Linked DNA regions of Nothobranchius furzeri. The protein of the gene in region 1 purifies or fractionates together with the protein of each later gene. This does not show direct contact. Links are inferred from orthologs where the notes say so. Each region holds a gene or a part of one and is shown on either strand. Other genes may lie near its edges. The genes, in order: cdk15 and fkbp5.

The links.
Region 2: the proteins of cdk15 (region 1) and fkbp5 purify together in Homo sapiens (affinity purification with mass spectrometry; 3 studies listed by BioGRID and IntAct, counting the BioPlex papers as one, with this or other methods). This does not show direct contact. The link is inferred for Nothobranchius furzeri from reciprocal best matches to the Homo sapiens genes CDK15 and FKBP5.

What each region holds. Positions count from the first base shown.
Region 1 is NC_091746.1:29,187,237-29,191,157, reverse strand, and holds the start of cdk15 (cyclin-dependent kinase 15), read left to right. Parts: upstream 1-1,363; 5' UTR 1,364-1,369; coding exon 1,370-1,612; intron 1,613-1,713; coding exon 1,714-1,860; intron 1,861-1,944; coding exon 1,945-2,039; intron 2,040-2,141; coding exon 2,142-2,221; intron 2,222-2,352; coding exon 2,353-2,447; intron 2,448-3,921. UniProt on the Homo sapiens protein: Serine/threonine-protein kinase that acts like an antiapoptotic protein that counters TRAIL/TNFSF10-induced apoptosis by inducing phosphorylation of BIRC5 at 'Thr-34'.
Region 2 is NC_091743.1:66,803,111-66,807,031, forward strand, and holds the start of fkbp5 (peptidyl-prolyl cis-trans isomerase FKBP5), read right to left. Parts: upstream 2,439-3,921; 5' UTR 2,207-2,438; intron 1-2,206. UniProt on the Homo sapiens protein: Immunophilin protein with PPIase and co-chaperone activities. Component of unligated steroid receptors heterocomplexes through interaction with heat-shock protein 90 (HSP90).

The DNA.
Region 1 (3,921 bases):
AAGATGGCTAAAGGCAACCTACACCTGTCCAAAACCCACACGGACAGCTGCTTAAAGCGTTCGATGTTGGGCTGCACATGGGGACAGCTGAAGGAAAGATGCAGGCCAGCAGTTTGGCATCACGATGCTGAGGTGAGCAGAAACCGCCACACGCTAGCCCGACTCCCCAACTATGTGTCTGAGGTAGTCGTGCAGCAGACAAGCCCATTCAACTCCGATGTTTCCTCAGTGCAGAGGACATCGCTATTCAATCTGATGAGACACTGGTTAGTTCTACTGTTACGTTATTGTACAACCCCTGAAAGCGCTTCACAACACAATCAGTCATTCACACATTCACACGCTGGTGAGAATAAGCTGCAATGTAGCCACAGCTGCCCTGGGGCGCGCTGACAGAGGCCTGCCGAGCTACACAAACGACGTTTTAACTCTTCTCATGGATTCTGAAGATAATCTAGAGACATCCGTGCTGTGGGTGATGCTGATGAGTCACTGCAGAGCCAGAATAATGCTCTGTACGTTGCAGCATGTGGGTTATGCAACTTAAGACGAAATGAGGTGAGTGACAATCAATGGCGCCCCCAAGGGGTGGCCAGAAATTAGCTTCCCCCCTCCCCCCCCAGCAAAAAACGAGTGTTAATAAATCATATGAATGTTCACTCAAACCATAAACTGATCTTATTTATGCAAGACATGATTGTAAAACAAAATAAAAATAATGTAATTAATGAGTAAAGAAATAATCAGAATAAAAAAGTGCTTATATTCCTGCTGCTCACCGTTTAAAAAAGTTTTTATCTCCATATTTTTGTGAACACAGCAACAGGTGAATTAAACTAAAAAAAAATACATTTCAAAATAAAATTCAAATGTTTGGATACTTCCTTTTTAAAAAATAATAAAGGAGCATCGCCACAGGCTAAACTCTCCCAGAGTTACCACAAGGACCAATTGGGTGGTGCCACTCCAAAAATTTTGTTGGCCCTGTTTGGCCACCCCTATGAAAATTCTGGAGGCGCCCCTGGTGAGTGAACAAGGTCCACTCACCTGATGGATCATCTCCAGACTCAGGTGGGTGCAGGACCACCAGACTGAGAAATGTGTTTGTTCCTGCAGTGACTTTTCAAGGACCTGATGTAGCGTGATAGTTTATTTATTTTTGTTGCCTTTGGAGAGAAGAACTTCAAATTACGCTTAAAAAGTAAAGCGGTGGCCACAAGTCCAGCTGCAGTTGATCCACTGTAATGAGAGTCAGACGCCAGCAGAGGGCAGAAAACTTCTCCAGACTCAGGACTGGGCAGCTCCTGCTGTTGAATGGAGACTGTTGTTCACTGTTGGGGTGGGGTGGGGGGTGGGGGGGGGGGGGGTCATGGGATCTTGTCTGCATGTCATGAGACAGAAGGGAAGCATCTGGACCACAGAAGAAGAAAACATGGAGAACTTGTTTCGCAGCATAAGGGAAGCTGGACACCAGCTAAGCGGGTGCTGCTGTGGTGAGGAAGAGGAGGACGAGGAGGTGAAAGAGAAGAGGAAGGAGGATGAGGGTAATGATGATGAGGATGATGAGAATCTACAAAGCAGCAGAAGCTGGATGTCCCTCCCTTCTCCTGAGGTACCGGTTAAACTTGATGCGTGTTTGGCTCCAGGACGCGATGGTGGCAAAGCTTCCTCCGGTTCTGTTCTGCTGACCCAGCCATTGTCCATGTCCTACAGGTGGATCAGAACCAGACCAGCTCTTCCAGCTCTGGGACTCCGCCTCACTGGTTCCACACTCTGCAGGCCCAGCGGTCCAGAGTGCAGCGAGGACGCAGCAACAGTGACCCTCTGAGAGCAACAGCTGTCCAGAATCTCTTCACCTGGGTCAGACGATGGGTCACATGATGTGTGAAGTGTTGAGCATGTGACCTAAAACTCCTGATCTGACGTGTAACGTGCTGTGTTCAGAAAGCGGGTCTGGAGTTTGGAGCTGCCCAGTCCTACCTGAGTCTGGAGAAGTTGGGAGAGGGAGTGTTTGCTTCTGTATATAAAGGCATCAGCAGGTCAGAGATGCCCCTCCGGGCCACCGTAGACGGGCTATCAGCATTTCCTTACATGTGTGTTTTTTATTACTGAGCCTTAAATGTAAAGTTTCTTCTGTGGAGGATAAATGGGCAGCTGGTGGCTCTGAAGGTGATTCGAATGAAGAAAGAAGAGGGAGTTCCTTTTACCGCCATCAGAGAAGGTGACCAATCAGATTGCTCTCTCGCCCTCCTGAGTGCATCAACCTCTGCCCTGACACCTGTGTGTGTGTGTGTGTGTGTGTGTGTGTGTGTGTGTGTGTGTGTGTGTGTGTGTGTGTGTGTGTGTTCACAGCCTCTCTGCTCAAACGCCTAAAACATGCCAACATTGTCCTGCTGCATGACATCATCCACACCAGAGAGACACTCACCCTGGTCTTCGAGTACGTGGTAAGCACAACCGCTGATAACTGTGTTAATTTATATACTTGTTGACCTGAAGGGGGCGCTACTGATAAATCCATCTGTCATTTTTATGGAATCAGAAATCACCAGTTCTGCAGAAGAGGGGAAGTATGCAGAGCATGCATAGATTAAAAACCAGGATGTGGTTTCAGGGTTGTTCCCAACTGGGTCAAAGGCAAGTGGCGATGTAACAACAGAAAAGAAAAGTCATGCAGAGAGACTGGATATCTGTTGTGGAGTCCCACAGGGGTCAGGCTTGGGTACCACGCTATTTCTATTGCACATCAATGGCTTGTTTCAGGTTTCCAGCACGCTAAGACGTGTTTTAATGGCAGATGATCATTTTTGGGATATTTAGATCTGGTTACAGCACAAATTAAAATTAATAATAAATTTGAGTAAAGGAAATCATGCGTTTTGGAAACTGTAAAATAAAGTGACGCTAACACTAAATAATGGGGAATGAAAACACGAACATCCAAGGATCCTTCTTGAAACTACAAACGTTAAAGTTTAGAGACTTGATAGAATTTAGGATAACATTATTTATGTAGAAATTCAAAATAAAAAACACTTAAAGAGCAAGTCACCCCCTACCAGATTCTTACTCCACTCCCACTTCCTGTTTGAAAAATGCAACAAATGTTGTTGCCTAGCAGACCGAGAGGCGGAGCCACTAACAAATACACACACACAGGCTCACAACGACATTGTGACATCATATGGTACCAGCTAACGTTCTAGGGTAGCTCTTAGCCAATAGCGATGGCAGATTTAAATTCAAATGCAGTGCAGAGTTTTTACCTGACGACGGCACAACACTGACAGTTTTAGGCAGAAAATTAAAATTTTAACTAAAATGCACTAAAGTGCAAAACTATTGACTACACGTGTCTGCAGCACGATTAGACACACACTTATATAGTTTATCAGCAAATAAAGTTGATTTGGGGGTGACTTGCTCTTTAAAGACTTAAAATTAAAAGACTGTAAACAAAAATAATCGTCGTCGTCTTCCTCCGCTTATCCGGGTCCGGGTCGCGGGGGCAGCATCCCAACTAGGGAGCTGCAGACCGTCCTCTCCCCGGCCACCTCCACCAGCTCCTCCGGCAGGACCCCAAGGCGTTCCCGGACCAGATTGGAGATGTAACCTCTCCAACGTGTCCTGGGTCGACCCGGGGGCCTTCTGCCGGCAGGACATGCCCGAAACACCTCCCCGGGGAGGCGTCCAGGAGGCATCCTGACCAGATGCCCAAACCACCTCAACTGGCTCCTTTCGATCCGGAGGAGCAGCGGTTCTACTCCGAGTCCCTCCCGAATGTCCGAGCTCCTCACCCTATCTCTAAGGCTGAGCCCGGCCACCCTACGGAGGAAACTCATTTCGGCCGCTTGTATCCGTGATCTCGTTCTTTCGGTCATTACCCAAAGCTCATGACCATAGGTGAGGGTTGGGACGTAG
Region 2 (3,921 bases), on another chromosome or scaffold:
GTTACTGCGGTCAAAGTTGAAACAAAACAAATAAAAGTGGCATTTACCAGTATTGGTTTTTTTTTTTTGTTTGTTTGTTTTTCTCAAGTACCACAATCACCAAATAATTCTCTCTTAAAAAACGTTTTAAAACTCAACATAGGTGTATACTTGCACATCATCTGGTAGAAAGAAATTTTTCTCAGTTTAATAATCATTTTTATTGTTTTTGCTCTAAAGAGAGAAGTCTGGAAATCTAAACAAAGGAAAAGAACTTTGTGTTCTTTCATCTGGCGGACAAAGAGAGACAAGATGTGACTCTAATGACTTAAACACTTGACTCTTGGACCAACAAACATGTTAAAGGCTTTGGTTTTTATGTTTATAAGAAGCTTTATAAACTAAGATAAGAAATATCTCCAGTAAAGGCAAAACTGATCAGAAAGCAGCCTCGCGAACACAGACTTTACTGTGAACTCGCTTTAATAAAAGCAGCTCTTATTAGTAGATTTATTTTCCGTTAATTACACAGAAGGGTCCGTCATTCTTTGCAGATATCACGAATGAGCAAAAAGATGCTTCTCTGCATAAAAAGAAGACCATGTAAATAAACCTCTAATTATTAAACGACAGGCTGAGCAGCAGAATCCTTGTTTTGCATACTGATCAGGAAATAGAATTTGAATCGTTTCTAAATGATTTCTTATGATGCTGAGGCACTTTCCATGCTCCTCATCACACAGGTTGAAACCACAAAGAGCCGTCTTGACTGGCATCACTTTACCCCGCATCCTCACTTTTGTACTTGTATGGAAAAATACAGTTTTTATCCTGAAAAATGTCCCAAAACGTCCGTCCATCAGCAGCTCCACCCTTCCCCGTGTCTTTTAAATTCCACGGATGTCATTTCAGATGTAACTCATGTAACTCGTGTGTCCATGTGTGTGTCTGAACACAATGTTCCTTCTATTCACAGTTCGCCACCGGCAAAGCCCAACAGCGTTCATCAACCTTAAACCCCCCTGATGCACCAGCTTTAATTTTATTTAACAAAAAAAAGGCAAATAAGCTGTTCTAATTTGGTAAATTTTGCATACACTCACATTTTTTACCCCCCACATGATTTAAACTGAGATAAACCAGCGTTGTGACTGCTTATCATCACTGATGATTGCAGACAAGTAAAAAGTTACTCATCCCATCATTGTGATCTCGCCCTTCTTTTTGGTGTATTTCTGTCATCTCTTCCTCGTAAATAAAATATTGACACTTTGCAAAAGCAGAAACAGGGTGTAAATTGTTCCAGCACTGATAAGATGGTACGTAGGCTTCATGTACCAATAACTAAGATGCCCTGCGGAGGAATGCAGGAACAGAACACAATGAGCCAAAGACCACATCCAGAGACGCACACAGTGTATCTGTACATTCTGTTTCACATCCGTACTCTGTTGCTGATTCATACCTAACAAGTGGAGACTCACTGATAATCCTGCACACACAGACACCCCAAAAAAACTAAACTTCTTTTATTAACCTGTTATGGTGCTAAGATTATGATAATAACTTGATATTTATAGATGTCTATCATAAAAATGCTGTAATCATTAAAATCTATTTGTTTTCCAGGCAAAAATTATGCCTGACCTTAACTTTTATAAGTTGTTAACTGACAAATAAACTTTATTTTTTTTCACCTGAGCTGATGAAAATGTGTGCATTTTTATTAGATACTTATAGAATAGTCCTGGCTGGAACTAATTTTGGAGGACCATTTTTGTGCTTATCCCCTCAGCACCTGGTGTCAACCTAAACATTCAGAGTTCTTCACAAGCTGCTCAGTAATATGTAACCAGGTTGTAATGAATCAGCTCAGAGTCGAGTTGAGTTATAATTCTCAGAAGTAGCCTGCACAAAACCCCTGTAATTTATGAAAGGGACACCTAAGCCTAGAGGGATCCTGGATGAGAACATCCACCAACCTCTTCTGGGACCTTCACAAGAAGGCTAAGGACCACATTCAGCCAAAACCTATCCATCCTGGCTCACTTTCCCCCCTCCTTTAAATAATCTTGTATATTCTTATTCTTTAGTGAGACTGTGCACAAGTTCCGTTTAACTCAGCCAGGCGTGAACGAAATTTAAAAAAAAAGATTATTTTAATTAACTCCTAAATTAAATAAAGTATTTCAGAAAGATGAAGATCTGTGTATTAAAAGAGACTTACGATGTTTTGAGGTCCGCTTTTTTATTTTCTTCCCCCAGATGGTTGCCGGTGACGAACAGCTGCAAATTCACTCGGTGGATGTTTATTTCTAAGAAAATGCGTCTTCCTATCTCAGATCCAGCAGGGTACTAAGTGTTCTGCCCATGTGGTTCTTAGCTATGGACTCTTTTTGTCTTTATCCCACCCCCCTCTGCTCCTTCTTCCTCTCCTCAGTGATGAAAGTACCGGTGCGGTCGCAACACGCAGCTCTGACTCCAAAATGACACTGAGGAGATACTACAGAGACAAACTCGCACAAAAATGACAGAGGCAGGAGGAGGCGAGGGGGGTGGAGGGGGGTGGCGGGGGTAAGCAGAAACGAGATGAGTTGTGGGGAGGGTGTTTAGTGTAAAATTAAGGGCAGGTCTTGGAAAGCAGCCACAAAGTAACACAATGTTCCGGCTGTACTGTAGCTGTGCCGCTGCTGATGAGAACACAGTGTTCCAACAGACACCCTGACCTGTAACCCGTTCCGTGCCAGGCCGGGCGGGAACAGCCTGTTCCGCTGCAGCGTGTTCCTCCTCTCTCCGCTCAGCGGACAACACATATCAACAACAAGAGGAGCTGTCTCCGTCTCTCTGTCAGTCCCAGCCGAACCGAACCCCGTAGCAACACGGAGACGTGTCAAAGCACCGACACTGACGTACACCTCTGAGTCCGATGAGTCGCGCGGTTTGACGGATTACTGTTTCTGAGGGAGACGGTAAAAACTCCTCCGCCTTTATCTTAGTTTTTTTTATTTAACGCTGTAGTTACCGACAAAAGCGCGACTTTAGTAGCTGTTTTGTGCGATGATGTGCTGTTATTATTAATTAATGCTCTGTTATGGCTGTTATTTGAACACGAAAGGGGGAGTTGCACCAGCTATATTAGCTTAAGGCTAAACTTGCACAGGTGTTTTTAGCTAGCTATTGAGAATAAAAGCCTAACCGGTGCAGCAATACGTTTATTTGTGCTTTCATTTCCTAAATTAGGACTTTAAAAGAGAATGCCAACAGGAACTGTTTTGTTAAACCAATAACTTGAGTCGTAACTTAACTTTTTCTGCCTGATTAAGTTATTATGTCAGATTAGCATTTTGTATTAGGGAGTGACAGATTATCCCTGCCAAGAAGTAGGATGCTGAGGTTCAATGTAATTTTATATTCTCCACCCAGGAACTAATTAAATACTATTTAAAGTAATTTAACATTCACCAGGCTATCTTTTCCATTTGTTGTCACCTTACACTAAGAATAAGTTATGTTACATGCTAACTTTATACTTCTAGTTAATACGTAATTGGATTTTGAAGCTATTGAGTTCATTATTGAAAAGTAACCATCCAATTGACTATGCAATGAAATATAATTAAAAAGCTTCTAGAAAATAATTATGGATTAAACTGCCCTAAACTCAGCATGAAAGGTAAAAAGATGAACCCATCAGGTAATATGCAAGATTTCTAAACGTACGTTTCTGAATTTACTTTTAAATTTCAGTAAATATGAATGCATCGACTCTTGCATCCGCAGCAGAGTAATTTCACTTTACAGTGAGCACATTGTTCCATGGATTTTTATTTCTCTTGTAGTTACATAACATCATAATGACACTTTGTTCAGGTGGTGTTATATGAGACTCTCTTTCATAAGGTTTAATATTTTATGATCTCATATTTGCAAGCCATATCATTT